5 linked regions of the Macaca mulatta genome follow. The protein of the gene in region 1 interacts with the protein of each later gene in a biochemical or structural test. Links are inferred from orthologs where the notes say so. Each region holds a gene or a part of one and is shown in the gene's direction. Other genes may lie near its edges. The genes, in order: NFKB1, DPF2, MAP3K8, BCL3 and ELF1.

Region 1 (5,837 bases):
AGGTCCTAGTATTTACTGCAAGGAAACCAGAGGTATCTTCACCCAGTTTCCCCCAATGGTAACATCCTGCATAACTTCAGAACAGTATCAAAACCTGGAAATTGACATTGGTACAATCCACAGATCTTAATCAGATTTCACCAGTTTTACACACACTTGTGTGTATCTGTATAGTTCTTCGTGCATATATTTTTTTAATACGTAAGTGGCATTATGCTACATGTTACTGTATTTCTGCCTTCGCTGCTTATCCACACAGTTCTGTGTACAGCTAGTTTGTTGTTTCAGCTCCTGAAGAGAATCTAGTATGGATCTTCCACCTCTAACATTCTTGTTTCCTAGTAGTAGACATTTAACCAACTTCCAACTTCCTACCTCAGTAGATAATACTGCAGTGACTCTCCTTATTTATGTCCTCTTGTGGATTTGTGTCAGAATTTTACCTATATACATCTACAAGAGTTGGGTTGCTGGGACATTTGTATATTTGGCTATCCAGAATGTCTGTGTAAGTCCCCATGCCCACAGCCATAGCATGAAGGTGTAATTGTTTAAGATATTATCCTTGGATTTAAGATCTAGAAGCTTTATATCATGGAAAACCATTGATTGGACTGTGGAAGAAAATATTAAAAAAAAAAAAAAAAAAAAAAACCTCAGACTCATTTTCTTAAATTAAATTCAAACTACAGATAATTTCTAATTCCTGAATGGTATACTATCTTACAATTTCAGATCCTTTTTTTCACATTCTCATTCTCTTTCCTTTTCCTGTCTCCCCAAGTAGCATTTCAGAAAACACAGATTAGTAAACAGTTTCTATTGACTTAGTTATTTTTGAGAAGAAGGCTCTTGGCAACAATATCTAAAGTTTTGAGGGCATCACTTCATTTCCGGCCAGGGTGATAGTCCTAGAAAATGAAAGAAATAAGGGCGAGTAATAATTTGGCAAAAAAAAGGGTCTTGGTCTGATATATTAAATAATCACTGTAGTTGAGATTTAGATGACCCTCACATCATTCATCCTGCCAGTTCTCATGTGCTGTGGTCACTTATATAGCTAGGAGGTTGGTGGCTCACCTGCTGCTGTAGCCAGTAACTGCTCAATGAAAAGGGAATTTTAGGCAAATTGTCACAAGACTGGCTGGATGTCATAGTTAGGCTCCTGTGAAATAAACTGATTTGTGTAAAGATACATTGCTGTTCTCTGTCATTGAACTCAGTTCTTTGAAGGATACATTTGTGATTGTATTTGTCTTACTCATTTTTGAAAACACACAGTTTGCAAAACATCTTATTTGCATTCATCGAAGTAATACCTTGTGGGCAGGATAGTCAAATGGACTACTGAAGTACCAATTAGGTATCATTAGCTCACCTTTTTTATTCATCTGAGTCCCCTTGGTGAGATACTTGTATTATCCTGGTTATGTTATTTAGAAGCTTATAATACCTTTTATGAAATAGGTATAGGAAAGCTATATTGAGTAGTCTCAGGAGCCAGTTCATGGGACAGTATTTTTTAATTTAGTAAATTTAGTTTCCATGTCAGCATAGAATCATGGCACTTTTGTTAATTGGTTTCTATTGAGTACTTCATTTAAATTTCTTCAGTGAAAATATAGCCTTATTTTGATTTGTTAATATAAAATCAGCTGAAGATAACTTCTACCAGAAATTTAAGAAAACTAAATTTACTACTAGGTGTGCTCAAAATCAACAATCAGTGGGTTTTAGTGAGAAACAAGAAGTTACTAAGACTTGTAAATATGAAAATAACCCACCACAGAAAAAGTTATATGAAATGATGGATTTGTAACTTAGTCTGATTTAATCATTTTATGTTGTAAACATATTAAAACATCACATTGTACCTCATAAATATATACAATTACTATTTGTCAATTAAATTTAAAATAAATAAAAATTTTAAAACCCGAATTATTGAATGGCTAAGTGTTAGTACAGTGTATGTACTTCATTAGCATATGGTATGGAACAGGATAACTTGGGTGCCAAGGTCAGGAGTTAATCTGGGAATGAGAAATGTTCCTGCAGTATGACCGCACCCATTGCAGTGACAGCTACCAAGCTGTAAGTTGTAAGTAAGTGTTCACTGCTGACTGGTGAATCTCCTGCCCTTCACTTTCCAGACGCCCTTGCACTTGGCAGTGATCACTAAGCAGGAAGATGTGGTGGAGGATTTGCTGAGGGCTGGGGCCGACCTGAGCCTTCTGGACCGCTTGGGTAACTCTGTTTTGCACCTAGCTGCCAAAGAAGGACATGATAAAGTTCTCAGTATCTTACTCAAGCACAAAAAGGCAGCACTACTTCTTGACCACCCCAATGGGGACGGTAAGAGACAATCACACATCATTGGTGTGGGATTAACTTTCTCCGCCTTCTAAATATCTACTAGGTATTTGATAAATGTGTGTTACTTGATTTGTACCCAAAAGTGCTTTCCTTAGTCACCTGGAGTTCATCATCTCTTTTGGGCATTTCTGTTGCTCACCAAAGCTAATTTTTTTAAAGGTGATTTAGAATAGTTAGTAGGAGGAAAAAGCAGAGGCCTAAGTAAAGATTCATCTTGAAGCACACAAAGTGTCGTTTATTCAGAGAATGTTTGTTTATGTTCAGTGTCTCCGGAGAACATAATAGGAGACTGTGGGTCTTCAAAGCAGAACAATCGACTTACAGTACCTTTGCTGTCCCTCCCCATGATTCAGTTTTTGCCATTTCCTTCAGCTTCACCAAGGGCCATCTTGTGAGCCAGCCATCCTATCCTGTGACTGTCCCTTTGCTTGGACTCTAGGTCTGAATGCCATTCATCTAGCCATGATGAGCAATAGCCTGCCATGTTTGCTGCTGCTGGTGGCCGCTGGGGCCGACGTCAATGCTCAGGAGCAAAAGTCCGGGCGCACAGCACTGCACCTGGCTGTGGAGCACGACAACATCTCATTGGCAGGCTGCCTGCTCCTGGAGGTGAAGGGCGCACTTATTTGCTTTTCCATTAAATTCCTGAGGGAGATTTAAGGAAATCTTTTCGAAGAATGAAGTCAGTAGCTGCTGTTCTCCCTTATAATCAACTCTACTTATTTAACACTTATGGAGGGCTTCAGAGTAGCACCTTTGGATGTTCCCCCACTCTCTTGCTTGGCATCTCTAATTGGGGATATCTTCAAAGACAGAGCCAGCCCAAAGTAGTAATTGGGCTAGTAATAGGACCCAAGGGGCCATGCACACTGGGAGGTGGGGACAGAAGGGCAAAAGAACCTTCCACTAACGCTTTCCTGTGTGGGCTGGATTGTAGGGTGATGCCCATGTGGACAGTACTACCTACGATGGAACCACACCCCTGCATATAGCAGCTGGGAGAGGGTCCACCAGGCTGGCAGCTCTTCTCAAAGCAGCAGGTAAGGTGGTGACCTGGCGGTCATTAATAAAAAATGTTACCAGGAATGCAAACCCAACTTCAATAGAGCAGCCATGTTGCCTTCTTTAAGCCACAGACCTACTGCTGAAAAGCAAGGGTAAATAAAAGTTATATGGCAGATCACATTTTATCTGCCATAAGGCACTGTTTGGACTAGTACTCTTGGGCTTTACCCTGACAGTCATGTTAGTTTTTACTTTCTGATTCATCTGTTTGTTTGGGGTTTGATTGTTTAGATTGACTCCCATGACAAGGGGTCTTTCAAAGTAGAGTTTGATTCCTTATGGAATTCTGAGTGGTATCAGTCTCAGATCATATCAGAAGTCCCCAGAAGAAAAAGATTATTGGTAAAAGAAATCATTTAAAGACTTCATTTTGAAAGAAATGTCTCTTAAAAATTGAAGTGTAGGAAAAAGAAAATGGGCCATGTATTAGGACCCATTACGTGGAAGGCACTAAAAATGGCTAGCACTTAGTGACCTTTCCGTGTCCCAGGCACAATGATATGCACTTTATGTGCACAGTCTCATTTAATGCCCAGTCACCACTTGTGACAAATACCGTTATTATTCCCCATCTTAGAGTCAAGGAAGCAGACTAGAGAGACTACCAGATCCCACTTCAGGGTTCCAGTAAGTGTCAGAGCTATGAATCACACTTGGGCAGTGTGAACTTCAAGACTTGATTCTCTCTACTATGTTTCTCTCTCCTATTTTGTTCACAGGTTTGCAGATGTTATTCCATTTAATTCTCTAGTCCTGTGAAGTATAGAAAATTATCCATGTTCATCTTTGAATTTCCAGTGCCTTGCATATTTAGAACCTCAAAATATGTGTAATGAAATTGGCATCTGAAGCCTGCCCTGACAAATCTGATTTACTTTAGAGGTTTTCTTTTAACTTAGAAGGTAAATGCTACATAAATTCAAGAAAACAGAGCAAATTAAAGACAGAGGAATTTTTCTTTGGGAACACCGTATTTTTCTTTTCTCTTTTAACAAAAGAGAGAACAATTTTTAAAAATACCAAAAAAAAGAGGAAAAAAAACTCTAACAAATAGAGCTTTTTCTTGAACAAGAAACTCTGATTGCAGTGGTTATTAATAGTTTTAGAAGACACTGATTATAATTAAATGCCTTCCAAGAAGAAGCTATAACCAGTCAGATGGGTTGGCTCACACCTGTAATCCCAGCACTTTGAGAGGCTGAGGTGGGAGGATCACTTGCACTAGGAGTTTGAGACCAACCTGGGCAACATTGTAAGACCTCATATCTATTAAAAAATTTTTAAAGTAGCTAGGCATGGTGTCACCCGCCTGTAGTCCCAGCTACTTGGGAGGCTGAGGTAGTAGTATCGCTTGAGCCTGGGAGTGCAAGGGCACAGTGAGCTACAGTTTCACCACTGCATTCTAACCTAAGCTATAGAATGAGACCCTGTCTCAAAAAAATACATAAATGAAAAGAAAAGAAAAAGAAACTATAACCCTTTTAAAAATGCTTTATATTGAATTCTCAGAATCCCATGAAAGGAATAGCAAGTAACAGTTTCTCTGATATATAAATGAAGAAACTCAGATGAAAACCAAGCCCGAATCTTAATGTCATGGAAAAGGTCAGTTAAGGCTGAGTGTGGAGGCTCACACCTGTAATCCCAGCACTTTGGGAGGCTGAGGTGGGTGGATCACCTGAGGTTGGGAGTTCGAGACTCATCTGGCCAACATGGTGAAACCCCATCTCTACTAAAAATATAAAAATTAGCCAGGCGTGGTGGCAGGCACCTGTAATCCCAGCTACTTGGAAGGCTGAGGCAGGAGAATCACTTGAGCCCTGGAGGTAGAGGTTGCGGTGAGCCGAGACTGCGCCACTGCACTCACCAAAAAAAAAAAAAAAAACAGTCAGTTAAGGGATAGCTCATCCCTCCAGTCTTTGGTCCTATAAATTGTTCATCTTAATTTCTCCATGGTTTTTTTGGTGGGATTACATTTATTGCCTCATAGATTAGGCCAGAACTGGGAGAGTAAAATCAAGAAATAGCATGAAGATCCTCCTTTGCTTCCCATTAAGTACTCTTCTATTATTGATATTGACACATCTGATGTTCTCCCAGCAAGATAAAAACAAGTTCCTCCCTCGAAAATGGCATCATTAGACATCAAGCTAAACACTCATAAAAATAATCTAAGCCTCTGAGAAGTAACTCTAGCTCTAGTCTTTGAGTTACTTTGGTGTTTCATTTATTTGTTTGTTGTTTTTGTTTTTGCTGGATGCTAAAGAGCAGACTAGATTTCCCAAAATATTTCAATAATTATACATCCTAGCAGGTTTGTTTATTTAAAGATCAGAACCCTGGCACTGCTGTACCCAGCAATGAAACTGGCCATGGTATCACTAGATATCAAGCAT
Region 2 (5,321 bases), on another chromosome or scaffold:
TCTTGCCTCCAGTTTACCCCCGTGATGATGGCGGCAGTGAAGACGTACCGCTGGCAGTGCATCGAGTGCAAATGTTGCAACATCTGCGGCACCTCTGAGAATGACGTGTGTATCCCCGCCCCCTCCTCAGCATGGCTCCTTCTGGGCTTTTACTGCTGTTTGCACAGTTCCCTCTAAAGTGAGCTTTCTTTTTTTAAAAAGGGAGCAAGATCCCTCCTACATGCCACATGCCCCTCCCTAGCATCTCAGTCAGAACTCTGATTTGTTGCCAGATAATATATATATTGAGTGCTGATTTTATGTCAGACACTGTTCTAGGCACTAAAGATACTAAAGACAAACAAGGTCCCTGCCGCATGAGATTTACATTCTTACAGGAACAACAATAAGCAAGGATGTGAGATTTGTATAATGTGCCATGAAAAAAATGAAACCAGTAATGTGGCAGAGAATAATTGCATAAGTGATTTATTTTGATGGTGAGGTTTGGCTCTTCTGGGAGGGGGATGCTGGTGTTGAAATTTTGTGATACCAAGGAGCCAGTCAAGCAGATTTGGAGGTAGAGCAGTCCCAGGAAAGGAGCAGCCAGTGCCAAGGCCTTATAGTGGACAAGCCAAATGATAGGGCATGGGAGAGGATGGCGGGGGATGAGATGAGAGAGGCAAGCACTGCCAGATCTGTGGGGCCTTGGATTTTATTCTAGGTACAATAGGACACTGTCAAAGGGTTTTAATCAGGGAAGTGACATGGTTATTTATGTATGTATTTATTTATTTTATTTATTTATTTTTTTGAGACGGAGTCTTGCTGTGTCGCCCAGGCTGGAGTACAGTGGCACGATCTCGGCTCACTGCAACCTCTGCCTTCCAGGTTCAAGCGATTCTCCTGCCTCAGCCTCCCAAGTAGCTGGGATTACAGACACGTGCCACCACATCTGACTAATTTTGTATTTTTAGTAGAGATGGGGTTTCTCCATGTTGGCCAGGCTGGTATTGAACTCCTGACGTCCGGTGATCCGCCTGCCTCAGCCTCCCAAAGTCCTGGGATTATAGGTGTGAACCACCGCACCCGGCTGTTTATTTATTCTTTATGTATTTATTTTTTTATTTTGAGACAGAGTCTCTCTGTCACCCAGGCTGGAGTGCAGCGATGCAATCTTAGCTCACTACCACCTCTCCCTTTAGGCTCAAGCAATCCAATCCTTCCACCTCAGCCTCCCAGGTAGCTGGGACCATAGATGCACACCACCATGCCTGGCTTCTTTTTTTTATATTTTTGATAGAGACAGGGTCTTGCCATATTGCTGAGCTGGTCTCAAACTCCTGAGCTCAAGCAATCCTCCCACCTTGGCCTCTCAAAGTGCTGGGATTACAGGCGTGAACCCACCATGTTTGGCATTGTCTTATATTTTATTTTATATTTATTTATTTATTTCAAGATGGAGTTTTACTGTTGTCACCCAGGCTGGAATGCAGTGACACAATCTCGGCTCACTGCAACCTCTGCCTCCAGGTTCAAGCAATTCTCCTGTCTCAGCCTCTCAAGTAGCTGGGATTACAGGCGCTCGCCACCACGCCTGGCTAATTTTTAGTAGAGACCGGGTTTCACCATGTTGGCCAAGCTCGTCTCGAACTCCTGACCTCAGGTGATCTACCTGCCTCAGCCTCCCAAGATGGTGGTATTACAGGCGTGAGCCACCGCGCTTGGCCCTTGTCTTATATTTTTAAAAGAAGACTTTGGCTGCTGTGTGGAGGGTAGACTGTAGGGACAAGGATGGAGGCTTATGCATATAATCCTAACACTTGAGAGGCTGAAGCGGGAGGATCACTTGAGCCCAGGAATTCAGAACCAGCCTGAGCAACATAGGGAGACCCTGTCTCCACAAAAAAAATTAAAACTTAGTGAGGTGTGGTGGCACACATGTTAACCCCAGCTGCTTGGCAGGCTGAGGTGGGAGGATCGCTTGAACCCAGGAGTTTGAGGCTGCAGTGAGCCACGATCACACCGCCACACTCCAGCCTGGGCAACAAAGCGAGACCTTTTCTCAAAAAGAAATAGTCACTGGGCACGGCGTCTCACACCTGTAATCCAAGCACTTTGGGAGGCTGAGGTGGGAGGATTGCTTGAGCCTGGGAATTGAGGACCAGCCTGGGCAACATAAGGAGACCTTGTCTCTCCAGAAAAATTCAAAACTTAGCTGGTGTGGTTGTGTGTGCCTATAGTCCCAGCTACTTGAGGCTGAGGTAGGAGGATCACTTGGGCCCAGGAGGTCAAGGCTGCAGTGAGCTGTGATTGCACCACTGCACTCCAGCCTGAGTGACAGCAATACCCTGTCTCAAAAAAATATACCTATAGAGCTTGGGCTTTAGGAAAAAAAAAAAAAAAACTGGAGGCGATTTGATCGATTAGGAGCTCTGAAAGGACTCAAGTGAGAGATGACAGTGACTGGATCTGCGGTAGAGAGGGACAGCGTGGTTCCTACATAAGATTCCTGCATCTGTTCTTACCTGCTACCTACCCCTCTTGGAAATAGCCATGTCACAGAAGCCCTCCCACTTCCTGTAGTGGCCTGAGGCACATCAGTCATTCAATCCCCATCCTCTTCCCTCTTGCCTACTTCAGGACCAGCTGCTCTTCTGTGATGACTGCGATCGTGGCTACCACATGTACTGTCTCACCCCGTCCATGTCTGAGCCCCCTGAAGGTAAGTTGCCCAGATCTTTTACTCAGAACAATTATTTTATTAGTTACTTGGAAAATACTGAGTTCTATGTTCTTTATGTTATCACTTACATATTCTTCCAACTTAGTGAGTAAAGCCCCTTGCCTTGGCTCAGTTTAGAATGCCTTCCTAACATTTCAACTTAAAGGGTTTAGTGTTTGCACATTATCAGCTACATTTACAACAGAAAATCCACAGCCCAGAAGAAAGCAGATGCTGAGCCGAGATCAGTCACCCAGAAGGAATGATTTATTTTCTTCCAACCAGTCATGGAAACTCAAGTGGTAGATTATCTGATGTGAAGCTTCTACAGTCAACTCTTGAAATTTGATGGATTTGAGCATTTATTTCCTATCCCTTCCCCTTCTGAATTGGGAAGGGACTTGACTTTGGAGCCTGAATTCTCCCATAACTTACAGTAATAATGGTCCAAGTTTATGGAAGCTATTCACTGAAACCAGTGGTGGCACCAAGAATTGGTTGCATCTCCACAAGTCCCCTTCCAGCTGGATTTCTGTGCATAAACTCCTCCTGTACAGAAATTCAGGAGCTTACTCAGAACACAAATGCCCAGGAGCTGTTACTGTGCACAAAGGATGTGGGCCAGCATTACAGGCAAGAGAAAGTGTTTCATTGTGTGATGTAAGCTGACTTGTAACATATTGGTCAAACTGCTGTCACCCCTCTAGAGAATGAGGCCACTGACAAAGTCTGAGAGTCCTTTAACAGCTGCAGGGGAGTACTCAGCTTCTGTCAGGCCCAGTTTATGAATCTGCTTTGGGGAGAAGTCGCGTGTTTATGTTTTGTTTTTAACCATCATACAGACTATCTATATTACAAAATGGCTTTCCTATTAAAGTTCCGTGGGACATTGAGGTGGTGGAGAGCTGCGGGCCCGAGCGTCCTCACTGGAGTGTTAAGGCAGCTGAGGGGCAACCCCTGGAAGTATCAGATGTTCTAGGTTCTAAGTCAGGGTCAACAAGCTACAAGCTACAACCTATGGGCCACATCCAGCCACAGCCAGCTTAAACAGCTTGCAAGCTATTTCTTTTCTTTCCTTTTCTTTCTTTTTAATTTTTATTTTTTGAGACAGTGTCTTGCTCTGTTGCCCATGTTGGAGTGGAGTGGCATGATCTCAGCTCACTGCAACCTCCACTCCCCTGGGCTCAGGTAATCTGGTAATCCTCCCACCTCAGCCTCCTGAGTAGCTGGGACTACAGGCATGCCACCACACCCGGCTAATTTTTGTATTTTTAGTAGAGACAGTGTTTTGCCATGGTGCCCAGGCTGGTCTCGAACTCCCGGGCTCAAGTGATCTGCCCGCCTCAGCCTCCGAAAGTGCTGGGACTACAGGTATGAACCACTGCGCCTAGCCTGAAAAAAAAAAATGCCCTTAAAATGTAAAAACTGGGCCGGGCGCGGTGGCTCAAGCCTGTAATCCCAGCACTTTGGGAGGCCGAGACAGGCGGATCACGAGGTCAGGAGATGGAGACCATCCTGGCTAACACGGTGAAACCCTGTCTCTACCAAAAAAATACAAAAAACTAGCCAGGCAAGGTGGCGGGCGCCTGTAGTCCCAGCTACTCGGGAGGCTGAGGCAGGAGAATGGTGTAAACCCGGGAGGCGGAGCTTGCAATAAACTGAGATCCAGCCACTGCACTCCAGCCCGGGCGACAGAGCGAGACTCTGTCTCAAAAAAAAAAAAAAAAAAAAAAAAAAAATTAAAAACTGGCTGGGTGCTGTGGCTCACCTCTGTAATCCCAGCACTTTGGGATCTATTGAGCCCAGGAGTTCAAGACCAGCCTGGGCAGGATGGCAAAACCCTGTCTTTACTAAAAATACAGAAATTAGCTGGGCGTGGTGCTGTGCACTTGTAATCTCAGCTACTAGAGAGGCTGAGGCAGGAGAATTGCTTGAACCTGGGAGGCAGAGGTTGGAGTAAGCTGAGATCATGCTACTGCACTCCAGCCTGAGCAACAGAGCGGAAACTCTTGTTTTGACAAAAAATAATAAAGGGAATTAAAAAAAAAAAAAGATGTGCATGAGACTGTATGTGGCTCACAAACGCTAAAATATGTAACACTCTGGCTCTTTACAGAAAAGTTTGCCAACCTTATTGACCTTTGGGTTAGAAAGGACTTACATTTTTGAGTCACATGTTTCTGAAGAGCTGATAAAAGCTGTGGATCCTTTCCCCTAGAATAATGTCCACATGCACATATGTATAATTTTGCTTATCATTTCAAGGCATTAAGGACTAATTTTATTCAAAAAAATTAGAAGAATTCAGCCATAGTAAATATTAATAAACAAAGAATGAACCAATTGTTTTTCTTAAGGAACAATTATTTTGTGTTTTTTCGTGAAACTACACAAGTCTTAAAACTGAGGTAGCGGCCGGGCGCGGTGGCTCAAGCCTGTAATCCCAGCACTTTGGGAGGCCGAGACAGGTGGATCACGAGGTCAGGAGATCGAGACCATCCTGGCTAACACGGTGAAACCCTGTCTTTACCAAAAAAATACAAAAAACTAGCCAGGCGAAGTGGCGGGCGCCTGTAGTCCCAGCTACTCGGGAGGCTGAGGCAGGAGAATGGCGTGA
Region 3 (6,546 bases), on another chromosome or scaffold:
TCTAATTCACCCCAACAGATGAAACCTACTCTGGCTTAAGCCAGAAGCAAGAGAGAACCCTGCTAGACCAGCCATTTCACGAGCTCTCTAAAATGCAGCTCTATTTGGGAGACTTCTATGTAGGAAGTAAGGCTAATAAGGTCGTTCCCAGAAGATTAGGTGTGGTTTTAATGAGCTCACTCAAGGCGGGTGGGGAGGGGAGTGGTTCCATGGTTCTATTTTTAAAACTCTTGTAAAGATCATCCTTTGTTGTCTAAACACCGCAGAAGAGAAAGAGACGTCTCCCAGTTTCTCAGGTTACAATCAGAGGTAACAACCTGTGCTAACCCGGTTTCCAGCGAAAAGGCCAAAAGTGTACTAATAACTTCGGCTTCAGCTGAGACTGGGATAACCCGCTTGAGCCAATGCCAAATTCCACCCATCCGGCGCGCAGGCGAGCGGGGCTTCTCCTCCCCAACCCTGGCCCAGGCTGCTTCTGCCGGGTCAATGCTGCCGCGTTGGTGGAATTCCCTCGCTCCAAGATCAGAAAGGCGGAGGCTTCAGGAAGTGGTTCTCCTCTAGGTGCAAGGGACTGCCTGGATATTTGGAGGGAATGGCAAACGCCCTGCTTCATGAGGTGAATGAATATAAATTAAATCGCTCTCGTATTTAAAATAACTTCGGGGATGACAGTGTCCAGTCAATCGGCCCTCGATGTTGGATTAGCTACCTGGGCTTGTTGTCTGCGAGTTAAGGTCCTGCAAAAAGTCCCTAGTTTGTCACCTCAGCTAACCTACCTCCTCCGGCAATTCTCTCGGTACATCCTCGGGTTGGAATTGTAATTCATTTTCCATAGCAGAAATGGGGAGGGCTCTAGAGAAGGTCCAAGGCAAATCGTTTTAAAAATTTTTATTTTTGGCCAGGCGCGGGGGCTCACGCCTGTAATCTCAGCACTTTGGGAGGCTGAGGCGGGCGGGCGGGGGTTTGAGGCCAGCCTGACCGACATGGAGAAACCCATCTCTACGAAAAATACAAAATTAGCCGGGTGTGGTGGCGCATGCCTGTAATCCCAGCTACTCGGGAGGCTGAGGCAGGAGAATCGCTTGAACCCCGGAGGCGGAGGTTGCGGTGAGCCGAGATCGCCCCATTGTACCCCAGCCTGGGCAACAAGAGCGAAACTCAGTCTCAAAAAATTTTTTTGTTTTATTTTATTTTTTAAATTTGAGACAAGGCCTCGCTCTATCGCCCAGGCTGGAGTGCTGTGGCTCAATCATAGCTCACAGCAGACTCGAACTCCTGGGCTCAAGGGATCCTCCTACCTCAGCTTCCAAGTAGCTGGGATGACACGCGTGAGCCACCATGCCTGGCCAAGTTTTATTTTTATTTTTTGTAGAGACGGGGTAGCTATGTTGCCCAGGTGGTCTCCAACTCCTAACCTCCAGTGATCCTCCCGCTTCGGCCTCCAAAGCGCTGGGATTACAGGCGTGCGCCACTGCGCACGGCAATTTAGAAACTGCACCAGGAGCACGTACCTGGGCACTGTGAAGAAAAGGGCATGGACTTGAAGTGTGACCGCGTTTGAATCTGAGTTGTGCCTGGGACACCCCACCTCCTGGGCCGTAGGGCAGAGAAAGAGGATGTCCTCCTCACATGGTCCCTAGCTCTCCGCGCTCTAGCCGAATGCCTGGCTCCTAGTGGATGCTTGATACGTGGGAAATGTAGGGGGAGGGGGTGGCGGGGTATTGGGAATGTCCCGCGGAGTGGATTTCGGGAGAGTGGCGCTTTTCTCTAGAACTCTCTTCCGGTTACACCTGGAGTAAACGCTTGCCACTCAAGAAGGAAAACCCCAGATGAGCAGCTAGGACTGAGGGGGTGGGCGGGAGGGGGGAGATCAGTACAGGTACTCTTCCTAATGAGGCGGTGCTACAAAATAACCAATTTTAATAAAGACTGCAAAGAAGAAAACCAGGTTCTGCTGTCGGAGTGCACAGGCCCCCAGCCGAGCGCCCAACACCCAGGTTCCGGGCCCACCCTGAGGCAGCCTCTTGGAAATCTCTAAGCTGGAATGTGTGCGTGAGCCATTGCCCTCTTTGTGTGTGAACTTGAAGCGAAATCTGGGCGAGGCGGGGCCGTGCTGCTAGTAATCGGACCCACAGTGGCGGTTCAGAGAAGCCCCAAGCTTCCCCAGCCTCCCGCAGCACGGCGGGGAGGGCACGAGGCGCCTCTGTCCCCACCCCAGAGCACGGGGCGCGCGGCAAATGGCCTGGTGACCGCTCCGCACCCCCCCCCCTGCCCGCCCCCTGGGAGCTTGCTCTCCCGCCGGACCCTGGGACTCCAGAGAACTCGGAGGGCGCGAGTACACTAAGATATACGACCTTCCCTGGGGACCGGGAAAGGGCACAACTGCCTCTTGCAACTCCGCCACCAGGACGCCTTGGGTCACCAGGCCCGGGGGAAAACTCGTCCACATCCCAGGCTCCCGACTCGAGCCGCAGCTCACGTCCTGCGCCCCTCCCCGCGTGCCGCTCTGCTCCTCCCTAGTCCCGCCTCCAGCTCCGCCTGGGCGCCCAGAGGGTAAACGAGGGGCGGCGGGGACCGCGAGGAGGGGGGGGTGGACGCGGAATTTCCCAGCGCGGGGGCTCTGGCTTCCCCTGCAGCTAGGCAGTCTCTTTCTGTTTACGGAGAGAAAGGGGAAATGGAAAAGTCGGGGAGGCGGTGGCTGGCGTCCGCTGCGCCGCCCCTGGGCCGGCTCAGACGCCGTGAGTCAGGGGCAGAGCACGGCGGTCTGGACGTGCGGGCGACGCGGGGCTCACTAGTCCGCTCGGGTCTGGACTGCGCGCCACGCTCTGGGGTCCGGCGCCCTGGCTCCTGTTTCTGCCGCTGCTGCCGCCGGATCCCGGTGGCCCGGCGTGCCCGGCTCGCACGGGCCTGCAGCCAGCGTCGCACCGAACCTTCGGGGGTCCGCGGCTGGAGCGCTTGGCCGGCGTGGGAGCGCCAAAGCCGCAGGTAACCCAGGGTTGGGGGTCTCCGGCGTGTCTTTCGGGTCGCGTCCCGCCTGGGTGCCCCGGGGATTCCCATGCAGAAATGGAGGGTGACCCCAGCAGAGGGGAAAACTCTGGCGTGGGAAGAGGTGGGGGCGTGCCCACAGCTGCGCTCGCGGGTCGCCGGCCGCACCAGGCACAGCTGGAAAGCACCTTGCGCAAGGGTCTCACGGGGTGCAGACTCGCGACTCCTCCCCCTTCCTCCTCCTTCCCGGATCCGCAGGGCCCGGGCAGTGCTGGTCCGGGCAGTGCGCGGGGAAGCGGGGACCCGCTGTCACTGCGCCTCCCGCCGCCGACACCGCCTGGACGGCCGCGCTGTCCCTGCCCCAGACCCGGTGAGTGCAGCTCGGAGGTTGGAGGACCCGACCCTCCCAAATGCTGGGTGCTTTGATAATTTACAAGCTTTTTAGGCTCCCTTGACTTAGAGAACCAGGAGGAAGGGAGTGGGAGTGTGGGCTGGCGGAGCCCAGAGACTTGTGAATGGCTGGAACTAAATTCAAGTTTGTAACCTGGACTGTATCCCGTGACTAAAGGAGTCATAGCAGAACACGAAGGCTGGGCTTTTGGTCTAAGAAAGAATACTAGGAGAAAAAAAAAAGTTATTTTCACGGAAGTTGTTTTCGAGCGATAATGCATGATCAGGACTGACTGAAATTTTTCTAGCTCTAGGCGGAGAAGGACGCCCAGGGATAGTCCCCATAGTTAACAGGGGAAGCCACCCGCTGCCTTTAAGAGTGAAACGTTGCGATGCTTGTCTATTTCACTTTGGGGAAGACAAGATAAAATGCTGCTCTTGATAAAAACGGGGACAGAAAGGCTCTTGCAGTTGCTTTACATACTTGTAGCCTGAGTCGTGTGTGCCAAGGAACGTGTAATCCACTTCCAGCTGACGCCCCCAGCTCTCTCCGAAGGATTGAGGTTTGTGTGCAGGTCGTCTGGCAGATGGCCCATGAGGACTTTGTCGTGTAAAGAAAATGGGAACGTGGAGGCATCTAGAGGTTTTGAAGCAGAGTGGCGGTCCTTCCTTCTATACCCCTGAAACGCATAATTCCGGGGCTTTTTGAGAACAAAAACATAATCAGAGATGTGCCCTGAGGGAGAATATACTATTTTGGCAGGATCTATCTATCTATCTATCTATCTATCTATCTATCTATCTATCTATCTCTATCTATCTATCTATCTATCTATCTATCTATCTATCTATCTTAGTATAAATATATATACACAATTTTTTTTTTTTTTTTTTTGAGACGGAGTTTCACTCTTGTCGCCCAGGCTGGATTGCAATGGCGCGATCTCGGCGCACTGCAACCTCCACCTCCACCTTCAAGCGATTCTCTTGCCTCAGCCTCCTGAGTAGCTGGGATTACAGGCGCCCGCCGCCATACCCGGCTAATTTTTGTGGAGACAGGGTTTCACCATGCTGGCCAGGCTGGTCTTGAACTCCTGACCTCGAGTGATCCACCCTTCTTGGCCTCCCAAAGTGCTGAGATTACCAGCATGAGCCACTGCTCCCGGCCTAAAAAAAATAATTTTAAATGGGAAATAACACAAGGAATAGTCATTCTTTGTGAGGCAGAAGCATATGCTGGTACGTTGGCCATTTTCATTCACACTTGCCAGGAAACACTCACATTTTGTTTATGTATGTGGAGGCAGCCAAGAGTATTATGTTAATGTTTAGGAACAGAATTTCCTCGTGATTTTATTGCTGATTTCTGAAATAATTCAGTGTAACTAGTTTTGACTGTATTTGCACATCTCTCCAATTCCAAAAGCTGGCATAATTTTCTGTTTGGTTAGGAAGCAGGAATTTTATGAGGACTTTTATTGTAAATTGTGTCAAGGGAAAAATCATCTTATACTAAACGTCTTTATTGGCAAACTAGAATACCTTCACAATCTTAACTTTCTAGGTGGCTACAGATCATGAATAACTCAGAAACCATTAGCTTATTGTGTGCTTCTTTAAGGCTGGAAAGTGCTGAGGCTTTTTGCAGGAGCAGTTAGCAGGCGAACTGGTCAGCAGGGTTTCTGGGGAGCATAGATTTGTGTGACAGGGGCCCTGTGTTGCTAAGGAATTAATGCAGGCACTGAGAAAAGTCTCAGTGTCAGACACTCCTCCACCTCCCGGGTCCTGCTTCCCTCCCTCTCCCCTTTCCAGGCAACTCACAGTTTAGGGGTGTGGTTGTGTGTGTTTAAGCTCTTGGGTTTTACATATAAATGCTTGAGACTTTCTGCAGGATTTAAAAACCAAAACCTTGTATTACCGCTCTTTTAGGATTTGTCTTTTAGAATCTCCAGTCCTCACAGGAAAACCCCCCAATTAACAAAATAAAAGAATAAAAAGAATACTACTACTAATTTTTTTTTTTTTAAAACCTCTAAAATTTGTCTTCCCGGATCAGCAGAGTGAATTTGAACTGTGTGGACATTTTTCCTCTTTCTTTCTTGAGTCGTGTTAGTACTGAGAACTTTTTTTTTTTCTGTCAAGTCATCCATTTGATAAATAAGTCCAGGAGACTTGGATCCTTTCAACCCCTGAGGCCCCAAATTAGGCTGTTTTTGTTTTAACTTCTGTGTTTCCAGTAAATTCGACAAGCAGAAACTGCAACTAGATGGCTCAGTAAAACCGATGTCAAATGTTCCTCCATTAATCTAAGAAGTTCCTTTCCTAACTCAGTAGACTCCAAGAACCTGAATCACAATCTCCCTCAAAGATGTACAAGATCTCGGGAGGGGAAGCTGCCCCCTCACTCTAGATTTCACTGTGTTGATAACAGCCATCAAAGCATTTCATGGGTTTCTGCCTTTTTTTCTCTCTCTCTTTATGTCTTGTTTTAGATACAATCTTCTTACTGCGAAGAAGCCAGGGGAATAGGTAGCCACATCTCATTTGCAGATAAGAAAGGAAGCTAATTCAGTATCTGCAAAGCCAGGAGTCTGACTCAGTACTTTTCTCTCTCATGCATATAAAGCAGCTAAAAATGACACAGCTTATTTACCATGCCCCTGACACTGCACTGAGCACTTTATGAGCTTGAACTCTTTTAATCCTCACGACCACTTCATGAGGTAGGTGCTGTTATTACTTCCATTTTACAGATGGGGAAAATTGAGGTTGAGAGAGGTTAAGTTACTTGCTCAACGTCATGCAAGCAGTAAATGGGAGTGTGGTGGGGAGGTGATGTGATTTGACTCCAAGCAGTCTGAGACCAGAGCAATGTTGGATTGCAGGATGCTAGACCACTTTCCTCAGACGCAATTCATACGTCAGAAAACGACCATCAAGTAAGTGAATGATGACACTAAATTGCATGGTTCTTTTGTCAAATGAAATGCACTGAGAGGCAGATGGCTGGGTCATGCATGCAGGTGGCTCTGCAGTGGAGCATTTCCTGGAGCTTTGAAATGAAGCTCCAGGTTGATCAGAGATGCGTGGCTTTAGCCCTGAGTGTCCTGTGTGTTAAAGGCTTCTGCCTTTCAGAACTTGAAATACCTTTCAGAAAGAGGCTGTGCTTTT
Region 4 (6,610 bases), on another chromosome or scaffold:
GAGGCAGAGGATGCAGTGAGCTGAGATGGCGCCATTGCACTCCAGCCTGGGCAACAGAGAGAGGTTGGTTCCCTCTCAAAAAAAAAAAAAAAAAAGGAACAAGGATTCAACAGCTTTGAGGGCCATGGTGAGGATTTTGGCCATCATCCCGAGTGAGGTAGGAGCCACAGAGGCTGGATGGGTTCGGATTCAGATTCTTCGGATTCAGGTTCTTTTTTTTTTTTTTTTTTTTTTAAGATGGAGCCTTGCTCTGTCACCCAGGCTGCAGTGCAGTGGCTCACTACAACGCCCTGCCTCCGGGGTTTAAGTGATTCTCCTGCCTCAGCCTCCCCAGTAGCTGGGATTATAGGCATGTGCCAACACACCCAGCTAATTTTGTTGTTGTTTTGTTTTGTTTTTTGAGACAGAGTTTCGCTCTTGTCTCCCAGACTGGAGTGCAATGGCACCATCTTAGCTTGCTGCAACCTCTGCCTCCTGGGTTCAAGTGATTCTCCTGCCTCAGGCTCCTGAGTAGCTGGGATTATAGGTGCACACTACCACGCCAAGCTAATTTTTGTATTTTTAGTAGAGACGGGGTTTTGCCATGTTGGCCAGGCTGGTCTAGAACTCCTGACCTCAGGTGATCCACCCGCCTCGGCCTCCCAAAGTGCTAGGATTACAGGTGTGAGCCATCATACCTAGCCCTGATTCAGATTCTAACAGGATCCCTCTGGCCATCAGGTAGAAAGAGACTGTTGGGGGCAGAATTGTGCTGCAAGGGATGAAAAGAGTTAGGGGTCTCCAAGCTTTGAGCCTGAGCCACTGCAAAGATGAAGCTGCCATTTCTGAGGCCAGAGCCTGCAGGCAGGGCTGGGTTGGAGGTCGGAATGAAGATATGCCTTGTTTAAGGCCAATGAGCAGGGAGCCTCACCCGAGGCACACAGGCTCCAGGCGGGAAGTTGGCGACGAGTTGTGGACTGTGGTTTTCACCCGCCTCGTGGGGCCCCCTCATCCTCTCCCCGAACTTCCCCTCACGACCTGGTGGAGCCAGCTTTGTTTGTTTCCCTCCCATCATCCGTTTCATGATGGGGAAGGCTGGTTTTCCCCTAACCCAGCAGACACCTCTTCCCTCAGCCTGTCCCTGACCCTCCCACCTCGGGAAGCCCCAGGCGGGCCTCCCAGAATGTCCCGGCAGGATGGGGCTACTGCTACCATTCATCCAGCCAGATGAACCCCAAAAGGGGAAGTGGGTCACCCACAGTCACCCGGCCCATGGTCAGCTGGGGACTTCAGGATCTCATCTCTTCACTGCCCCACCGCAGCGCTGGGAGGCTTTCCATGCACGCTTCTCATCCTCCCCACATTTCACACGAGAAAGCAGGGGCTCCAAGAGAAGCCCACACTCACCTAAGGATCTCCAAAGATGGGGGTGTCTGGATTTGAACTTAGGTCCTGGCAGATGTTGTAAGCTCAGAGGAGAAGGCAGAGAGGGTGAACAGAACCCAGCCCTGCCCTCCCAGATCCAGTGGGAAGGCAGACTTGTCCCCAGGTAATAATGACTCAGTAGAATTCACAGCCTGGGATGGAGGAGCCCAGGAGGCTGCAGGAGCTCAGAGCAGGTGCCTGACCCAGACTGGGGTCAAGGAGGGCTTCCTGGAGGAAGGGACAGCTCATCTGATACCTAGAGGATGAATGGGGGTTACTAGGTATAAATAGTGCAGGGAGAGGGAAGAGTATGTACAAAAGCCCAGGGTTGAGAGGGAACCTAGGGGCTTCCAGCAAGGCACAGTGGCTCACACCTGTAATCCCAGCACTCTGGAAGGCTGAGGTGGGTGAATCATCTGAGGTCAAGAGTTCAAGACCAGCCTGGCCAACATGGTGAAACCCTGTCTCTACTAAAATACAAAAATTAGCCAGGCGTGGTGGCCTGCACCCACAATCCCAGCTACTCGGGAGGCTGAGGCACGAGAATTGCCTGAACTTGGGAGGTGGAGGTTGCAGTGAGCCGAGATCACACCACTGCACTCCAGCCTGGGCAACGAAGTGAGATTCCATCTTTCTCTCAAAAAAAAAAAAAAAGTGGGAACCCAGGGGCTTCTAAATCCAACCATGTCCTGGCCCTGATTAAAATCTCCTACGACTGCCCTGGCAAACTCTTTAGTTTGGCATTCATTCATTCATTCAATAAACATTCCCTGGAGTGCATTGTCAGTGTCAGGCCCCAGGGGAACACAGCAGTGACCACGACAGCCCCACCAGACCGTGACCCTGACCAGGGAGCTCACGAGTGCAGAGACATCTACTCCAAGACCTGAAGGAGGAGTAGGAGAGATGCTGGGGAAGAGGCAGGGAAGGGTGCTCCTGGCAGAGGGAACAGCCTGTGCGAAGGCCTGAAGGTAAGTTTTGCATATGACACCTTTGAGAAACTACTCATTGTTCAACTGAAGCAGAGGCTTGTTCAGAAGAAGTCAGCCTTGTGGCCGGGTGTAGACTTCCTCCCAGGGCACCGGGGAGCCACCGTGGAGTTGTGAGCAAGGGAGAGACAGGGGTAGGCTTGTACTTCCCAGAGACTCCCCCAGCTGCCATGTGCAGGGTGAATGGAGTGACGCATAGAACCCAGTTTCAGGGGGTAGTTTGGGACTTGGACCCAGGTCCCAGGGAGAGAGTCCAAGGAGCCCTTCTCTGGTCTTCCAAGGCGCCGCTCTCCCCAAGTTCCAGATGGAAGGCGTGCCCATGGCAACCGCTAGGTGGTGCCCGTACACCACCAGCCAGGTCTTTGTTTGCCAAAAGTAGATCAGGCCCAGAGCTGGACAGAACTGCCCCGGGATCAGGAGAGCAAATCCTCTCTGTCTTTAGGTCCTGGCTCCCTGGCCAGGCATCCTGGGCCCATTTGACTCCCGGGCTCAGGAAGGAGCTGGCTGAGCTGCAGCGAGTATGTTCTTTGTCTCTTTCCTTACCTTGGAATCTCAGACTGAAGCCACGTCTCTTTCCTCACTTTGGAATCTCAGACTGGAGCACCCTGGCTCCCACTTCAGACAGGGGGATTCTTACCTCCCTCATCAGACTAGCAGACTCCTTGTCTCCCTACCAGTTTGAGGAGTTCCCCATTTCTATCATTCATTTGGAAGCTCATCAGCTCTCCCAGAAGGCATGGGAGCCCTTCAACACCCCCATCAGACTAGGACTACCCATCTCCCCCATCAGATTAGAAATGCATTGTCTCACACATCATAATGTTGCTCCTTACCTTCCCTGACAGACTGGAAATACAGACTGGACACTCGTTCTTGCTGCAGGGGGCTGGAGCTTCTTATCTGCTTCACTGGATTTGGACAATCCTGTCTCCCTCATGGGATTTGGTGAGAGCTCCTTAGTTTACTTATTTTTCTCACTGTGCTGGGCCACCTTGTCCCCCACCATCAGATTGGGGAACACCTTGTCTCCCAGTCAGACCAGAGGGTTGGACTCCTCCGCCCTTGCAAAGGTTCCTGAGTCCTTCTTACATCCATAGAAGGAACCATGCCTATTTTTCCAAGAGGGAAACTGAGGCACAGAGAAGCAAATACCACTTCTCTGTCGAGCTGCAGATGCCTCCCCCTCCTCCTCCGCCGGCTGCTCTGCCCCCACCCTCTCCCGCCCCCGCCCCTGCCCTGGGTAACTCCCCTGGCACCGGGAGTAGGGGAATTTTGCCCTGCTGGCCTCTGCACCAACCACCTCCCCTTATCGGCAGCGTCGCCAGCCACCGGTGGCAGCCCAGGGTTAAAGTCCGGAGACAGCTCGGGCGCAAAGCGGATAGGGAGGGAGGAGTGGCGCCCAACCCAGAACGGGGACTCCCCGGAGGTCGAGCTCTCACGCTGCTGGGAGCAGAGGGGATGGGCAGGACCGTGTCCCGTGGTAAGGTGTGGGTTCAATTCTTCTTTTCTAGTGTGGTCTTGAACCTGGAACTTCACCCCCACTGGGAGCCTCAGCTTCTCCAGCTTTAAGGAGTCAGGTGTGTGAAAACGCCCCAGCTCTGGAGTCAGACTCCAGGCGTTTGAATGCTGGCTCCTATAACCTGCTGTGTGAGATCTGGGGCCATCGAGCGCGTCTCTCTCAGCCTCAGTTTCCCCAGTTGTGCAATGAGGATCCCTACTGGGTGGTGGTGAAGGCTCCATGAGTTCACGCACAAGAAAACCTTGGGACAGTGGCTGATAGTGGCGTCAGCAAGCCAGCATGCACCCCACCCTTTCCTTCCAAGAAAATTGCCTCCTAAATCTATGGTTGGTAACCTTCACCCCTCCCTCTTTGACCCACCTCCTAACCCAGGCCACCTGGTGTCTTGCTACACAGCTGGTCTCCCTGCCCGCACCACAGTCAGAGGCGTCTTTGGAAACCCAATCCTGACCCCTGCTCAGAATCTGCCATGGCTCTCCAGTGCCCCCAGGAGAAAACCAAGTGCTGTACCACAGCCACAGCCTGACCACTCGCTGCCTGTATTTTCTTTCTCTTTCTTGCTTTCTCTTTTTTTTTTTTTTAAAGACAGGGTCTTGCTCTGGCCCCAGGCTGGAGTGCAGTGGCGCCGTCATAGCTCACTGCAGCCTCAACCTCCTGGGCTCAAGTGATCCTCCCACCTCAGCCTCCTGAGTAGCTGAGACTACAGGCACATGCCACCACACCTGGGTAAATTTTTTAATTTTTTTTTTTTTAGAGATAGGGTCTCACTCATTGCCCAGGCTGGTCTTAAACTCCTGGGCTCAAGCCATCCTCTCACCTCAGCTTCCCAAAATGCTGGGACTACAGGTATGCACCACTGCGCCCAGCCTCCTTTCTGGTTTCCTAATAAAGCCTTTTGTTCACCTCCTTCAAACACTTCCCCGCACTCTTCAGGTCTCAGCTCAAACAGGGCAGGCCCGGTCCCCTTGGTCCTCTCTGTCCTCCCTCTCCTGGTTCCCTGTACCTCTCCAAAAGCCCCCATCACCGAAAGAAGTAAAGATGTGGGGCCGGGCGTGGTGGCCCACACCTGTAATTCCCAGCACTCTGGGAGGCTGAGGTAAGTGGATCACCTGAGGTCACAAGAATTGATTGAACCCCAGAGGCAGACGTTGCAGTGAGCTGAGATTGCGCCACTGGACTCCAGCCTGGGCGACGGACAGACTCCATCTCAAAAAAAAAAAAAAAAATTGGCCGGGCATGGTGGCTTATGCCTGTAATCCCAGCACTCTGGGAGGCCAAGGCAGGCAGATCACTTGAGCCCAGGAGTTCGAGACCAGCCTGGGCAACATGGTGAAAATCCCATCTCTGCAAAAAATACAAAAATTAGCTGGGCATGGTGGTGTCTCTACTAAAGAATACAAAAATTAGCTGGGTGTGGTGGAATGCACCTGTAATCCCAGCTACTCAGGAGGCTAAGGCATGAGAATCACTTGAATCCGGGAGGTGGAGACTGCAGTGAGTCAAGATCACGCGACTGCACTCCAGCCTGTGTGACAATGCAAGATTCTCTCTTAAAAAAAAAAAAGTCCCCACTCTGGTCCAGCCACCATCACGGACGGCCTGGACCATGCAGTCACCTCCTCACGGGTCTCCCTGCCTGGGTCCTTGCCGCGTGCCCGAAGGGACCTGTCTTTCCCCTACATGCAGCCACAGGGATCCTGTTAACACCTAAGTCATCAGGAGGCTGAGGTGGGAGGATTGCTTGAGTCCAGGAGGTCGAGGCTGCAGTGAGCCAAGATGGCACCACTGTACTCCAGGCTGGGCAACAGAGTAAGACCCTGTCTCTAAACAATAATAATAACAACAAATTAAATTAAATTGAAACCTGGCCTGGGCGTGGTGGCTCATGCCTGTAATTCCAGCACTTTGGGAGGCCGAGGCAGGTAGATCACCTGAGGTCAGGAGTTGGCCAACATGGTACGTGGCCAACATGGCGAAACCCTGTCTCTACTTTAAAAATATAAAAGTTAGCTGGGCGTGGTGGCGCATGCCTGTAATTCCAGCTACTCAGGAGGCTGAGGCAGGAGAATCGCTTGAACCTGGGAGGCGGAGGTTGCAGTGAGCCGAGATAGCGTCACTGCACTCCAGTCTGGGCAACAGAGTGAGATTCCATCTTAAAAAAAAAAAAAAAAAAAAAGTCAGATTATCCCTCCCCTGCCCAGAACCCTCCATGGCTCCCATCTCCCTCTGAGTAAAAGCCTACGTCCCTACAGTGGCTCATAAGATCCTGATCCATCTCCTTGCCACCATCTCCCCCGCCATCCTCCCTTCCACTCTCCCCCAGCTCATTCTGCTCCAGCTACACTGGCCTCAAAGAGCCGTTCCGACCCACCTCTGGGCCTTGGCACTTGCTGTTCCCTCTGCCTAGAACACGCTTCCCCCAGATGTCCACATGGTTCATTCCCTCCCCTCCCTCAAGTCTTAGCCCCAAACGTCATTCCTTGGAGGGCCTCCCTTGGCCGCTGGATTTAAATAACAGCTTCGACTTCCTACCCTCCATCTCCCTCATTCCCTCACCAGCTTTATTTTTCTCCATAGCAGATACCTGCCATTGGCTGTATTTTCCTTGTCTTGTTGACTGTCTCCTGGATGGATGGAAGAGTCTGTGACTCCCCAAGGGCAGGAATCTTATTTGGTCAACACCGGGGCATGGCCTGAA
Region 5 (5,837 bases), on another chromosome or scaffold:
ATATTTATATAAAGCTCTAGAAACTACAAACTAATCTATAATGACAGGAAACAGATGAGTGGTTGCCTGTGGATTGGGCAGGGTGAGGAAGGGCGAGATGTAAGGATTACAAAAGGGCACAAAGTACTTTTGGGGTGATGAATATATTCATTGTTTTGAATGTAGTGGTGGTTTTAGTATACATAGTCACAACTTGTCAAATTATAAACACCAAACATATGTAGTTTATTATAAGTCAGTTATACCTCAACAAAGCTGCTTAAAAAATAAAAGACTAATATTCTACTTAATGTTGAAAAACTATTGGTATGATAAAGAACCAAATGGAATTTATAGAAATAAGAAATGAAATTGGGCCATGCTCAGTGGCTCATGCCTATATTCCTAGCACTTTGGGCGTCTGAGGTGGGCAGATGACCTGAGGTCTGGAATTAGAGAGCAACATGGTGAAACCCAATCTCTACTAACAATACAAAAAAAAAATTAGCCAGGCATGGTGGTACATGCCTGTAATCCCAGCTGCTTGGGAGGCTGAGGCACGAGAATCGCTTGAACCCAGGAGGCGGAGGTTGCAGTGAGCCAAGATCGCACCACTGCATTCCAGCCTGGGCGACACAGTGAGACTCTGTCTCAAAAACAAAAAAATGAAATGAAATTGAAAACATAATGTGTGGATTAAAACATAGACTAGTCACTGCTTAAGAAAGAATTAGCAAACTCCAGTAGATTTGGTGTGAATTAAAAAATATGGAAGAGTTACAGACATGGAGAACTAAATGAAAAGGTCTACATGTTTAATCAAAGTTCCAGAAACAGAGAATATGAAAAGTGAGGAAGAGACAATATTCGAGAGATAGTGACTAAGAATTTTCCAGAATCACATTAATCCTCAGCATTGTAAATCCTGAGTGGGTCAGCTACAATAAATCTAGGCCTAAATGCGTTGTTGGTAAAAATGCAGAACACCAAAGCCCTCTCTCAAGTTCTCCCTGCTCCAAAAAAAAAAAGAAGCAAACCAGGGAGAAACTACACTACTTCAAGAGGACTGATTTTTTTTTTTTTTTAGATTGGCAGTTTAGAAGCTCCCAGGAGAGACTGGAAGAATTAGACATTTTCAAAGAGCTGAGAAGAAATCATTGTCAACCAAAAATTCTATAACCAAGATATAATTCGTCTGAAGCTTTGTACATTGCCACCTTGAATGATTAGGAAGATGTTGGAGAGGATGGATACTGGGTTGGGAGTTTTTACTGGCAGCATCTGTTGTGACTAAAGCTAGTGGAGGAAAGTAGTGGAAATAAAGACGATATCTATTTTTTTTAAGCTGGTATATATTAATAGCATAAAATAAGGTGGGAGTTACTGAAGTCTTGGCTTCTGATACTTGTTATCATGAACACAGCCAGAAGAATCTGTCTCCTGAAGGGTTCTCTGCAGACGTCTGCGGTGATGAAAGTCGGGATACCTGGCTGACTAGCATACATTTGGCAATCTTAGAGACTGAGGAGTGGGCTTTTTGACACTTTCCTTCCTTCCTCTCATTCACCCAAATGACTTCAGAAGCGTTTTCCTATTCCGTTTCTGGGGATAGATTGTCACTGGCCTTGTGATTTTTTTTTTAGCTGTAAAATTCTGCTTTTCTAAGTTATTGTCCTGCCCTATATTGTATTTACTTAGAATTCACCACAGTAATCCAAACCAGAGTGGCAGCCTCAAGGGTAGGAGGTAGTAACTCTTCATTGTTTCTCACCTATAGATTGGCAGTATGTTCAGACAGCATGATCATGATCTAAATCTAAATACAAGGCAGTGGTGCTACTAGGCCGTGGTTCTAGATACTTGGCAAAAGAAGATCACAAATAGGGCTTTAGAATAGTTGATCGACCCCACTCTGAGACTATTGGGATGGACTTATTTAGACATTGATGGCGGGTAAGATAACTATTAAGCTTGTTGTGAATTGAAAGGTACAGAAAAACGAGATGTTTTTAGAAATACACAGAAGGATAGTATTTAACTATGTGGTTCACCAAAATTTTGCCTCACATATTTTCTGTATTTCTAGAGTTTGGGAAGTTTCTTATACTTGAGAACTAACTGTATACAGAAATTATTTAATAGAGAAAAAAGCTAAAAATCCACTTCTCCTACCTTAAAAAGCTGGTATAATCAATAGACAGACAGAGCTATGTGGCTTATTTTTGGAGCGCATGTTCTACCAATGTCAAAAGCATTCTCCGAAAGTTTAAGAAAGTGCTACCAGTATGGGTACTTCAAAGGCAAGCTATAGTATTTTTAATTAACTTCATTTTTACAGATATAAACTGAGGTGTCAGAGGTATCATTTCTTACCTAAGTGTGTTTATGGTTTAACCTGCATTAATGTCCAAGTTTTATTAAAGTTGTTTTCCTTTTAGCAAACAGCATTTTAAGAGACCAGTATATGTGACCCATGTATAAAAACATTTGGCACTTGACCAAATAGCTGAATTGTCCATTTTTTGTCACTTTTGAAGGCAAATATTTATGCAGAGCTGTTTTTATTTCAGGGAGAAAAACGAAACCACCACGACCAGATTCCCCAGCCACTACGCCAAACATATCTGTAAAGAAGAAAAACAAAGATGGAAAGGGTACTACTGTAATTTCCGTGTAATACTTATAGGTCAAGTAACACTCAGATTGCTTTATAGCGCCTGCCTGTTACAACTAGAAACCACCAGCTCTCTTGATATACTGCAATGGATCTTATTGCTGCCACATGCGTATTAGATACATTTGCCAAATTCTTAAAGGAAAACTGATAATAAAGTAGACCAAGAAACTCATTTGAGTGATTTTCACTTACCTGTCCAAATAATCTATTCTTTTCATGTAATAATGAGACTCTTGGAAGAATTTAACCAGGTTAGATTTTCAGTTCATAGGCCCTTTAACATGTTGTCTTGAAATTCAAGCATTTTTATAACTGTTGCCCAAATTTGAAGAAAACTGTTATGGCTGACCTGCTGGCTCTAATCTAAAGAGAACAACTGTTGAAAGGAGAGAGTTCACAAAGAGGCAGAAAAAAATTATCTCAAAGTACTTTCTCCTAATTCATCACAAATCTTATGACAAGATTGCTTTGTTCACATATTTTATATGGGACTAATAAAAAGATCTTTATAGATGCTGAAAAGTATGACCATTATACCACCCATACTAACTAAATTATGTCACCAATACTAACTGAATTATGTAATGTTTTTGTATAAATATGAATGGCACTTCCAAGACTTTTAGTTGTCTTTTATGATGGTCTTTTACATGAAATTTTGGTCATTTAGAAAGAAATTGTTTTTGTTTCAGGAAACACAATTTATCTTTGGGAGTTTTTACTGGCACTGCTCCAGGACAAGGCTACTTGTCCTAAATACATCAAGTGGACCCAGCGAGAGAAAGGCATTTTTAAATTGGTGGATTCTAAAGCAGTGTCCAGGTTGTGGGGGAAGCACAAAAACAAACCTGACATGAATTATGAGACCATGGGAAGAGCACTCAGGTATGCGAAGTTTTGGTATTTTATTGTTAAGAATATCATTTCCTGAATCCTAAAAAAAAATATCAAGCTTAAATTCAGCAAAGCACCAACAGTGGTAATGCAAGTACATAATAAGAGGGTACATTTTCAGTCGGGTGCGGTAGCTCATGCCTGTAATCCCTACACTTTGGGAGGCTGAGGCTGGTGGATTGCTTGAGTTCAGGAGTTTAAGACCAGCCTGGGCAACATGGCAAAACCCTGTCTCTCTTAAAAAATACAAAAAATTAGCCAGACATGGTGATGTGCTCCTGTGGTCCCACCTATTCGGCAGGCTGAGGTGGGAGAATCACCTGAGCCCGGGAGGTTGAGGCTGCAGTGATCGAGATTGCACCACTGAACTCCAGCTTGGGCAACCGGAGTGAGACCCTGTCTCAAAAAAAAAAGAGGGTGCATTCTCAAACATGAATTGCAGGTATGATATGTTAGTTATTATGGTAGAATAAATTAGTGCTTCAAGAGTACTATTAGACATCATGAGAACTTTGAACAAGCGTAACATTTTATTCTTAAGCTCACTTTTAGTTCATTTTTTGGTGACTCTGTCATTTATTTTTCAAGATATGCATGTATTTGAGACAGATTTATTGAAAAGAAGAATGATCTGAATGACTTAGGGGATAGATATAGATATTAAATTTGGCAATCTTAAACTATAATCCTTTAATTACAGTTTTTGGATTTTTTAACATACATTTTTTAGGTTCTTGATTTTATTAAAATAGATGACAAAAAGTTGGATCACTTCTATTGCATATCATTAAGTTTTATACACAAAAGTCAATTACATTTACTGAATCAAATTTAAACTGATACAGTTTGCCTAGTAGGAACATTTCTAGAAAGCTGCGGAGGAGAAACAATTTATTGAGGCTTTTCGTAGTTTTGATGATCTTGGCAAGCTGTCAGAAAGGGGCCGAGTGTGGTGGCTCGCTTCTATAATCCCAGCATTTTGGGAGGCTGAGAAAGAAGCATCGTTTCAGCCTGGGAGTTCCAGACCAGCCTGGGCAACGTGGCAAAACCCAGTCTCTGCAAATGCAAAAATTAGCTGAGTGTGGTAGCATGCGCCTGTGGTCCCAGCTACTTGGGAGGCTGAGGTGGGAAGATTGCTTAAGGCCAGGAGTTCAAGGCTGCAGTGAGCTGTGATCATGCCACTGCACTCCAGCCTGGGCAACAGAGCAAGACTCTGTCTCTAAATAAATAAGTAAATAAATTAGCAGAGAGAGGAAGAAAAATGAAAGACCAGAAGATTTCACATACTCTATCAACAGTCCCCCAATCAGCATTAGTTTTAGATTTAGTTGGTAATAAGAACTTATCTCTATCTGTGCATAAATGTATGTTTATCTTATATGAAATAACTGCCCTTTATTTAGAAATTCTTTTCTCATTAGTTTGATTCAACTTTAAAGTTTTGTTTATGATTAGGGAAATTTGATTTTGTTGAATATTTTAATTGATGTTTGATTGAATAAAATATTGATGAAATTGTCTGCTTTGAATAGGTACTATTACCAAAGGGGTATTCTGGCAAAAGTGGAAGGTCAGCGCCTGGTGTATCAGTTTAAAGAAATGCCAAAAGATCTTATATATATAAATGATGAGGATCCAAGTTCCAGCATAGAGTCTTCAGATCCATCACTATCTTCATCAGCCACTTCAAATAGGAATCAAGCCAGCCGGTCGAGAGTCTCTTCAAGTCCAGGGGTAAAAGGAGGAGCCACTACAGTTCTAAAACCAGGGAATTCTAAAGCTGCAAAACCCAAAGATCCTGTGGAAGTTGCACAGCCGTCGGAAGTTTTGAGGACAGTGCAGCCCACGCAGTCTCCATATCCTACCCAGCTCTTCCGGACTGTTCATGTAGTACAGCCAGTACAGGCTGTCCCAGAGGGAGAAGCAGCTAGAACCAGTACCATGCAGGATGAAACATTAAATTCTTCTGTTCAGAGTATTAGGTGAGAAAACCAAACTACTGATGCTTATCACTTCAATATGTTTCTGACCAGAGACATTATTTGTTAAGTGGGTCAGGATTCAGAAATGAAAATAAAAGTATATAGATTTCAAGCTAGAACTCTTGGTTACCAGATTTTTCAGGAGCAGTATATATAACGTCAGTCCTCTAATTATGCCACTGGTCCCTTTATTTACATTTTGACATTGTTGACATTCTGTCAGTTTAAGTACAGTTCACTATACCTTTGTATAACTGGATTGATCCATATAAGAAGTTATCTAGATGTGAGAAAATCCAGGGAAT

The links.
Region 2: the proteins of NFKB1 (region 1) and DPF2 form a complex in vitro, tested with the Homo sapiens proteins (2 studies listed by BioGRID). The link is inferred for Macaca mulatta from reciprocal best matches to the Homo sapiens genes NFKB1 and DPF2.
Region 3: the proteins of NFKB1 (region 1) and MAP3K8 form a complex in vitro, tested with the Homo sapiens proteins (2 studies listed by BioGRID and IntAct, with this or other methods). The link is inferred for Macaca mulatta from reciprocal best matches to the Homo sapiens genes NFKB1 and MAP3K8.
Region 4: the proteins of NFKB1 (region 1) and BCL3 form a complex in vitro, tested with the Homo sapiens proteins (2 studies listed by BioGRID). The link is inferred for Macaca mulatta from reciprocal best matches to the Homo sapiens genes NFKB1 and BCL3.
Region 5: the proteins of NFKB1 (region 1) and ELF1 form a complex in vitro, tested with the Homo sapiens proteins (2 studies listed by BioGRID). The link is inferred for Macaca mulatta from reciprocal best matches to the Homo sapiens genes NFKB1 and ELF1.

The regions. Positions count from the first base shown.
Region 1 is NC_133410.1:111,965,766-111,971,602, forward strand, and holds part of NFKB1 (nuclear factor NF-kappa-B p105 subunit), read left to right. Parts: intron 1-2,153; coding exon 2,154-2,355; intron 2,356-2,815; coding exon 2,816-2,985; intron 2,986-3,313; coding exon 3,314-3,416; intron 3,417-5,837.
Region 2 is NC_133419.1:9,048,605-9,053,925, reverse strand, and holds the end of DPF2 (zinc finger protein ubi-d4), read left to right. Parts: coding exon 1-105; intron 106-2,622; coding exon 2,623-2,817; 3' UTR 2,818-3,939; downstream 3,940-5,321. UniProt on the Homo sapiens protein: Plays an active role in transcriptional regulation by binding modified histones H3 and H4. Is a negative regulator of myeloid differentiation of hematopoietic progenitor cells. Might also have a role in the development and maturation of lymphoid cells.
Region 3 is NC_133414.1:31,776,497-31,783,042, forward strand, and holds the start of MAP3K8 (mitogen-activated protein kinase kinase kinase 8), read left to right. Parts: upstream 1-2,239; 5' UTR 2,240-2,985; intron 2,986-3,243; exon of another isoform or gene 3,244-3,355; intron 3,356-5,867; exon of another isoform or gene 5,868-6,098; intron 6,099-6,260; exon of another isoform or gene 6,261-6,314; intron 6,315-6,546.
Region 4 is NC_133424.1:57,227,372-57,233,981, forward strand, and holds the start of BCL3 (B-cell lymphoma 3 protein), read left to right. Parts: upstream 1-2,875; 5' UTR 2,876-2,911; intron 2,912-3,238; 5' UTR 3,239-3,338; intron 3,339-3,904; 5' UTR 3,905-3,970; intron 3,971-6,492; 5' UTR 6,493-6,610. UniProt on the Homo sapiens protein: Contributes to the regulation of transcriptional activation of NF-kappa-B target genes. In the cytoplasm, inhibits the nuclear translocation of the NF-kappa-B p50 subunit.
Region 5 is NC_133422.1:20,378,691-20,384,527, reverse strand, and holds part of ELF1 (ETS-related transcription factor Elf-1), read left to right. Parts: intron 1-2,549; coding exon 2,550-2,633; intron 2,634-3,348; coding exon 3,349-3,541; intron 3,542-5,082; coding exon 5,083-5,532; intron 5,533-5,837.